Linked DNA regions of Drosophila melanogaster. The protein of the gene in region 2 interacts with the protein of the main gene of each other region in a pairwise test. Each region holds a gene or a part of one and is shown on either strand. Other genes may lie near its edges. The genes, in order: CG17648 and CG33170.

Region 1 (3,275 bases), on a different chromosome or scaffold from region 2:
GTGGGGCAGACAGACGGCAGCTGCCTTAAACCAAATTACACTAATTGGGTTACCATATGACAGGGCAATGCGTCGACTGTGACATTTGTTTGCCATGGCTTGCCAATGCTTGCATTATGTCCGCCCGTCCACATCCTTCGCCCGCACAAACACAGCCCCCCACACGAATGTGTGGTGTACACTGAGAGAAAAAGCTCACTCAGTACGCAAATTCTTCAGAAGGGCTACCTTCCAAAAGTAAAGCCAAACTGGAGTCTCTAATCCCGTAATATTGATAGTTGTTCGGAAGTCTGAACCCCTAATTGTGCTCAGTGCATCATAAGCCCAGTCGTCAGTAAGTCCTTCACTCCACCGCCGTTTGCACTCGCAGTTGCCAGCTTGTAATAAGCTGCAGAATCATTTTCCGCATGCCGGCTGCTTTGACAGCTGCAATACCGCACATGGCTCAAAGGGTCGAAAAGCGGGCCACATGTGGTGGTATATGGTGGAAAAGGGGGAAAACGGGGCAACGGGCAAAGGATATGGGGAGTTGGAGACCGCACTCGAAATGGAAGCCAAAGGACTCTGGCTTAGTTAATTGAGTGGACAGCAAGGAGGTCTTTAAACTGAGATTGGCACGGATAAGAAGATAAGCATTATAGACTTTGTTGGCCTAATCTCACAGGTTCATTTGATTCTAAGCAGAGAAAAAAGAAAGTATTTTTTAAAAATAGTTTTAGAAACTTCTAGGCTTCGACGGCGGGTTCCATGGACAAGGACCTGCTGCTCACACTCCCGGCGGGGGTCATGATGTCCTCCAGCATTTGGTTGAGCGACTCGGAGCCCAGAGCGTACTCCTGCTTATTGGCACTTCGGTTGTGCATGGCGTCCAAGTAGACGCCACTCGCATTGCGCTCGCTGCTCAGAATGTGCTGCATGACATTGCTGATCTGTTCGGAGCCCAGGATCTTCGGTTGCTCGGTGGCCAGTCCATCGATGACCGCAGTTTCCAGCTGGCTTGAAATTTTGGCCGGCGACTCCTCCTCGTTGGCAGTTTTTAGAAAACGAATCGCCTGTGCAGAGGCCAAGGCTCCGGCCGTAAAAGAGGTCAGCAACTGAGCAATCGAAATCATTTGAAATTTGATATTTTTAAATGATTCGAAAGCGAATTTAGATCATGCTTTGAAAGTTCGTTACGATTGCTATGAATTGAGTTTAAATATTTCAAGGCTACATAAATTAGTAATTAACTCAATAGCCACCACTGATTTGGCTTACAAACTCTTTTGTTTAATATTATTTTTAAAAGCTTTAAATATTTTAAATAGATTTAGCTAGAAAATAGCTGACAGACACATATCGATATATCGCTGCGATAGCCACAGCTGTTCACGCCCGCAGTTTAAGCGATGTGGCAGCCCTGGTCGGCCACCAAAAAATAAACATTGGAATTTTCCCTTAACTTTATAGAGTTTTATCCAATTTGAGCGATGCTGCCGGGCGTTGGAGTGTTCGGAACGGGAGAGATAGCCAATGTGCTGGTGCCGCTGCTGCGGGAGAAAGGATTCGAGGTGCGGGCCATTTGGGGCAGGACCCTGAAAGAGGCGAAAGAGACTGCGACCACGCAGAATGTACAATTCCATACGAACGTAATCGACGATGTCCTGCTGCGGAAGGATGTGGATCTGGTGTTCATCGTGTGCCAGCCCTTTCTGCACGCGGAGATCTCGGTGAAGGCCTTGGGCATCGGGAAGCATGTGGTGTGCGACAAGCCAGCAGGATTGCACCAGCAGGACGCACTCAAAATGGTTCGGGCTTCTCAGTACTATCCCACTCTGATTTCCCTGGTCAATCACCCGCTGAGGTTCCTGCCCGCCTTTACACATATGCGTCGTTGTCTGCAGGAGGAGCTAATTGGCTCTATTGGCGACGTGGTACTCATGGATGTGCGCGTCCAGATGGGAACGCTCTTTCCCGAGAAGTACAACTGGATGTGCGATGCGCAAATGGGCGGCGGTGCCCTGAATCTCGTGGGATCCGTGGTGGACTTGGTCACCTTTCTGCTGCAACAGCAGGCAATAAGAGTGCATGGAGTCCTACGATCCTACACGAAAACCACACCGGCCATCAATGGCATTCGACAAATTACGGCTCCGGATTTCTGCAACTTCCAAATGGAACTGGCCAGTGGAACGCTGGTCACAGTGGCCCTGCACAGTCACACTGTGCCAGCAAAAGCCTTCTCGCAGGAAGTGCTCATCTATGGCAGCAAAGGACACCTGGTGGTCCGCGGCGGCGACCTATTTGTCCTCAAGGAGGGCCAACCCAAAGAGGAAGCTGTTTACGTGGATGTCCAGGATTTGCACTTCGCCACCAACAACTCTTTGCTACCACGACCATATATCAAAGGACTCTGCAAGATGGTGGGCGCTCTGAAGGAAGCCTTCGGCAGCAAGGAGTCCTCCTGGGTTAAGGCTCCAGTTTCCACAGCGGCCACCTTTGAGGACGGCCTCTACGTTCAGGCTGTGGTTGAGGCCATCCGGAAATCGAACGAGACCAGGCAGTGGCAAAGGGTTCAGCTGTCCACCGACAGCCCCCTGAATCACGACCAGATAATTCGATATGCACGCATGTCCACAATGTGAGGGAGTCTGTATTACATAGGTGCAATATATGAATGATTCCACTATATATTTTTTATATAATGTACGTGTTTAGTCTTTAAGCGTTCAAAAGATTCAGGCTTTCCAGCCGGCGTCATCTTCATCAATGTATTTAACTTATTTGTACGGCATCAGCATTTTGCAACTAATAAAATTGATTTGTTAGACATGAGACTTTATATTTATATTAGCTAGAAAACATTTCATGATAGTTAATAGCAAGGAACGAGAAGAAGTCATCAAATGTACCAAACGTTTTATTTTAAAAACAAAATTGTCTACACAAACTAAACGAAATATGTCATATACAAGTAATTCGAACTTAGGGCTAAAACTAAAGCTAATCACTAAAGAGACGAAACAAATTATTGATCACAAAAGTATCTTTGTAGCGGACCTTATAGAAGTAGATGAATATTCAAGACTTGGCATAGCTGGAGTCTTCGCGGAGATCCAGCTCAGTGGATGAAGTATTGTGTTTACAGGGCAAGATGGAAACGGGGTTATAGAGATTGTGTTGCAGTTGATCTTCCTTTTTGGTATATCAGCACTTAAACTGGATTTAAGCTACCCTAAAGCCTTCTTGCGTACAATATTTCAGAGAATATTTAAATAAATACCTAAGCTAACATC
Region 2 (4,765 bases):
TTTTATAAATTGGCAAAAGATTAAATAAAAGAAAGCACAGCATGTCCGCCAAGCAAAACCCAAAAAAGTTAAAGTGGGCGCTGGACTTTAACGGGAGGTAAGGATTGCTAGCCTGCGCGGTGACTCAAGTTCTTACCACTTTTGCTTTTTCCTGCAGCAAAAATGCTGATATTCCTTCGCCGCTGGGCTACAATCCATCTGCTTTGGTGAACCAGAGTGAAGTGGTGCGCGACCAGCGCCTGGTCATCAAGAAGTCGTGGGACCTTGCCCTGGGACCTCTTAAGAACGTGAGTAGCAGCCCTTTGGAAAGACCCGTGCTTAACCTTTGGATTCCCTCAGATTCCCATGAATCTATTCATCATGTACATGTCAGGAAACTCGATTTCCATTTTTCCCATCATGATGGTCGGCATGATGCTGATCCGGCCTATCAAGGCCATCTTCACCACCCAGGTGACTTCCAAAATGGCGGAGGGGGCCCAGGGAACTGGCCAGCGCATCGTCTACTTCCTGGGCAACCTAGCAAACGTGGCTTTGGCCCTCTACAAGTGCCAGAGCATGGGGCTCCTCCCCACCCACGCCTCCGATTGGTTGGCATTTGTCCAGCCTCAGACACGCCTGGAATATTACGGCGGAGGAATTTCGTTTGTCTAGTTTTACACATATAGATTCTCTTTATTTGATCATAGATAAATTGGTTTAAACTAAAATTGTGGTCTTATTCCGCCAGTCAGTCGTCTAGTATCTTCTTGGCCTCCTTTTTGATGTCATCCACTAGTTTCTCGCCGGGCGATCTGTTAAAGAAAATAGTAAAATAATTAAGATACAGAATGATAATATGATCTTATTTAGCATTGATTTCGTCATGGTTGCACCTGGCAACAAATTTTTATTCGGAAAAGCCATCATTCACCACAGTAGAAAGATATCATCACGACTTCGCACGCATTTTTTCAGCACTTTGTCCTATTTTCAGAATTTGTAAAACAAGCGCGTGGAAAGCTTAATATAAGATATCGAAAAAAAATCCAGGTTTAGTTGACAAGTTCGACTTATAAAATTTTTACAATTTTAATTACAAAGGCATTTGACAGAGTGTGGCTCGATGGACTTTTGTTTAAAATAATCAAGCTGTTGCCCCAAAACACACATAAGCTACTGAAGTCATACCTATATAACAGAGTGTTTGCAATAAGATGCGATACAAGCACTTCACGCGATTGCGCAATCGAAGCTGGAGTGCCGCAAGGCAGTGTACTGGGTCCAATCTTATACACCCTGTATACGGCGGATTTCCCCATAGACTACAATCTAACAACCTCCACGTTCGCTGATGATACCGCGATACTCAGTCGCTCGAAATGCCCAATAAAAGCCACGGCACTCCTATCCCGACACTTAACATCTGTAGAACGATGGCTTGCCGACTGGAGAATTTCAATAAATGTTCAAAAATGCAAGCAGGTTACCTTTACCTTAAACAAACAAACATGCCCACCACTGGTCTTGAATAACATATGCATTCCACAAGCCGACGAGGTAACATATCTGGGAGTTCATCTGGACAGGCGGCTCACTTGGCGCAAACATATAGAAGCCAAATCGAAACATCTTAAACTTAAAGCAAGGAACCTCCACTGGCTCATAAATGCTCGCTCTCCACTTAGTCTGGAGTTCAAAGCTCTTCTATACAACTCCGTCTTAAAACCTATCTGGACTTATGGCTCCGAGCTGTGGGGCAACGCATCCAGAAGTAACATAGACATTATTCAGCGAGCACAGTCAAGAATTCTGAGAATTATCACTGGAGCGCCGTGGTACCTTCGAAACGAAAACATACACAGAGACCTAAAAATCAAATTAGTAATCGAAGTAATAGCTGAGAAAAAAACGAAGTATAACGAAAAGCTGACCACCCATACAAATCCCCTCGCAAGAAAACTAATCCGAGTATGCAGTCAAAGCCGGCTGCACCGCAACGACCTCCCAGCCCAGCAATAAACTTATTAGGGCATTAATGAAAAAAAAAAAAACTATCACTAAGTGAAAGTTAATTAAGTTAGATTAAGATTTGAACACTTATTGTTAGTCTCTTAACACAAAGGGAAGATTCAATAAATAATAAAAAAAATTATAAAAAAAAAAAAAAAAAAAATTACAAAGGTCGCTCTATGACTTTTTTGAATTTAGTGAAGGTAACGTTATCCTTGTACGAAACTACCAAGGCTGTTACTTGTTCTTGGTTTGATCCATTAGTTCTTTGAGTTTCTCGTTGAAACGCTGCATCAACTTCTGGGGATCATCCACTCGGGGGACCTAAAAAAGCCACTGTATTAGGAGCAAGAACAAATGTGGGTTAGGTGGCTTACCTCATAGTTCTGTGAGACATAGATTCCCGTATACACCCCGGCGCCAAAAGTTAACTGGAATGGAGAAAGGAGGATTATTAGAGTGGGTTGTGAAAATCTTCCTGAAGATGTCTATTTCGCATGCTGACCGTCGAGAAACATATTACTCGCTTGAAAGTCCAAAAGCGTTTTTTGGGACAGCACGGCAATGGCTGGCGAACTTCCGGTGGGCAAGTTTTCGCAGAGCGACTCTGCCCGCCAGTTTTGAGCCTCAAAACCTGCGCCCCAAGTCCAAGCAGTTTCATTTTAACTTCCAGTCTATATAAACGATCAATTTGGTGAGGCCTGTGTTGTTTTTCAAAGAGTCCGAATCTGTTTACTCATGGCTTGAGCGGTCATGGTCGACATAATTTCCAACGACTAGGTGATTATTTTATTTTTGTGGATATTTGAATTTGTGAGGCCTTATATAACGTTGAACCAAAAGTCACTTATGTATGTATTCAAACAGCGCACACTGGGAAGTAAACTCAAATTGAACCAATTTTGGAATCTATTTAACTGGTGTTTTGGCGCACTTTCTACCGTTTTACCAATCCACTCTTGTTTTATCCGAGCAAGAATATTTTGAATTTTGCTTAAACTTTTAATACTATTTTTTTATTTGTTGAAGTTAGATATTGGGAAGGTATTTTCAAATGTATTACATTTTGTCATTTATATTAATCATTAATATTTAATCAAATAATTGGTTTTGATTTTGAACCCCTAGACAACACATTTCACCACTGTGCAGGGGCGCGTCATCGCCGCGAAAAGCAACACAACCACAAAAACCACAGAAAAGTTGTATCTCGTATCTGATATGATTTCAGGTGTGAATCATAAACTTAAAAACATCAGGAAACCGGAAAACTTACCAGAAACTTGAGCATAGTGGAATAGTTAAAGGAGCCTTTGTCACCCGCAGCCGCCAGCGTGAGAGTCTTAGCAAAAGTGAGAGAATGTGAAAAAGAAACGTCAAACGACGCTGCTTCGGCGCTTCGTCTGCAGCTGCTCGGAATCTGAAAACAGCTGACTGGCCCACTGCGATTTGTGTTTGTATGGTTAGGTAATCGTATTTGGCTGACTCTGATAACTATGGAGTTAAGTTACTGCCTTTCGAGCACTGAACTTTTACTTCAATTTATGTACATGCATATGCATATGTATTAACAATTATTAGTTTGCGGTCACCGACGACGAGCTCCTCGGTGGACGGGCGTAAGTGAAACTGAAACAAGGGCAATCGCAATTAAAAACTGAACGCAAAACGGCCAAAAATAAAACATGTTGGTGGATGCCGCCTTCTCTAATATACATATGCACATATTTACATATTGAAGTGCCTCTGCTACGGTTTTTACCGTTTCCTAGTGCCCTTTTTTAATCAACCGCCAAAGCGCTAGACGGTTTTCAACACTACCACCAACGACCGTAATTCGGATACATTTTGTCCCCAAATCTCAAATTCCCAGGAACTGCACTTGAACAGCAGGGTGTTGTTCGTGTCATGGAAAATCCACTTTATGTAAAACATGCTTTTTGGATGGACGAACTGTGATTTAATTGTACTATTAAGGCTATATGTCTTTACAACGATTCAATTGCACTGACCACGACTATAAACTACATTTTATGACTACATTAGGCCAAGACCGCGGGGCGGGTCTTCAAGTAGACGAACAGCACCAGAAAGACCGCCAAAACGCCGAGCGCCGGCAGCACCACGGTGCGGATCTTCGCCTGGGTCTCCAGGTTGTCCAGCTTGCGCTCCTTCTTCTGTTTGCGCGTCTCCTTCACCTTTCCCTTCAGCTGGCGCATCTTTATCACTGATAGTTTTTGCGATAGTTCCTTTAATCTGGTGACGTGTAACACTCGTCGGAATGTGTGTGCGTGGAGCAACAAAACAGAGAGCTGGCCTTCTTTCGTTCAACAAGTTGTTTCTGGGCCAAAGAAGAAGAAGAAACGTTCGACTGGGCTGGCTAAAAGCAGGCAGCTTTTGACTGTCGACAGTGCTGCTTATTTCATGCAGTTTCTGGTCGGGTTACTCTGATGACACGTCCGGCCGACTAGTGTTGAACAATGTCTCTGGGACGGAAGCGCGCGTTTAAAAAAGTCTTTATAATTAAATAACGCATTTCATAAGTTAGAAAGCCATCAATTAACCTGGGGCTGTATTTGCCTCCATCTGAACATAAAAATGTCGTAGCAAGTTGTACAAAATTCACTTGCCAGTCAATAGTGAATACTTTATTTACCCAAACAAAATATAAAATAAATATAGTTTAAAAGAAAATAAAGCCGACTGAATAAATTTTTGACTGCAGGCGAAAGTCAAAAACGTATATGCATATATGTGAGTATAGACGTTGTCC

What was found.
Region 1: the proteins of CG33170 (region 2) and CG17648 interact in a two-hybrid assay, tested with the Drosophila melanogaster proteins (one large-scale study listed by BioGRID).

Annotation. Positions count from the first base shown.
Region 1 is NT_033779.5:1,750,220-1,753,494, reverse strand, and holds CG17648 (uncharacterized protein), read right to left. Parts: upstream 1,188-3,275; 5' UTR 1,113-1,187; coding exon 726-1,112; 3' UTR 647-725; downstream 1-646. Other genes in the region: CG17712 (uncharacterized protein), read left to right, coding at 1,470-2,624.
Region 2 is NT_037436.4:22,863,429-22,868,193, reverse strand, and holds CG33170 (uncharacterized protein), read right to left. Parts: upstream 2,709-4,765; 5' UTR 2,654-2,708; coding exon 2,498-2,653; intron 2,424-2,497; coding exon 2,370-2,423; intron 2,317-2,369; coding exon 2,230-2,316; 3' UTR 2,160-2,229; intron 1,079-2,159; 3' UTR 795-1,078; coding exon of another isoform or gene 731-794; 3' UTR 659-730; downstream 1-658. Other genes in the region: EMC4 (ER membrane protein complex subunit 4), read left to right, coding at 42-97, 158-287, 340-654; CG33169 (uncharacterized protein), read right to left, coding at 4,035-4,211.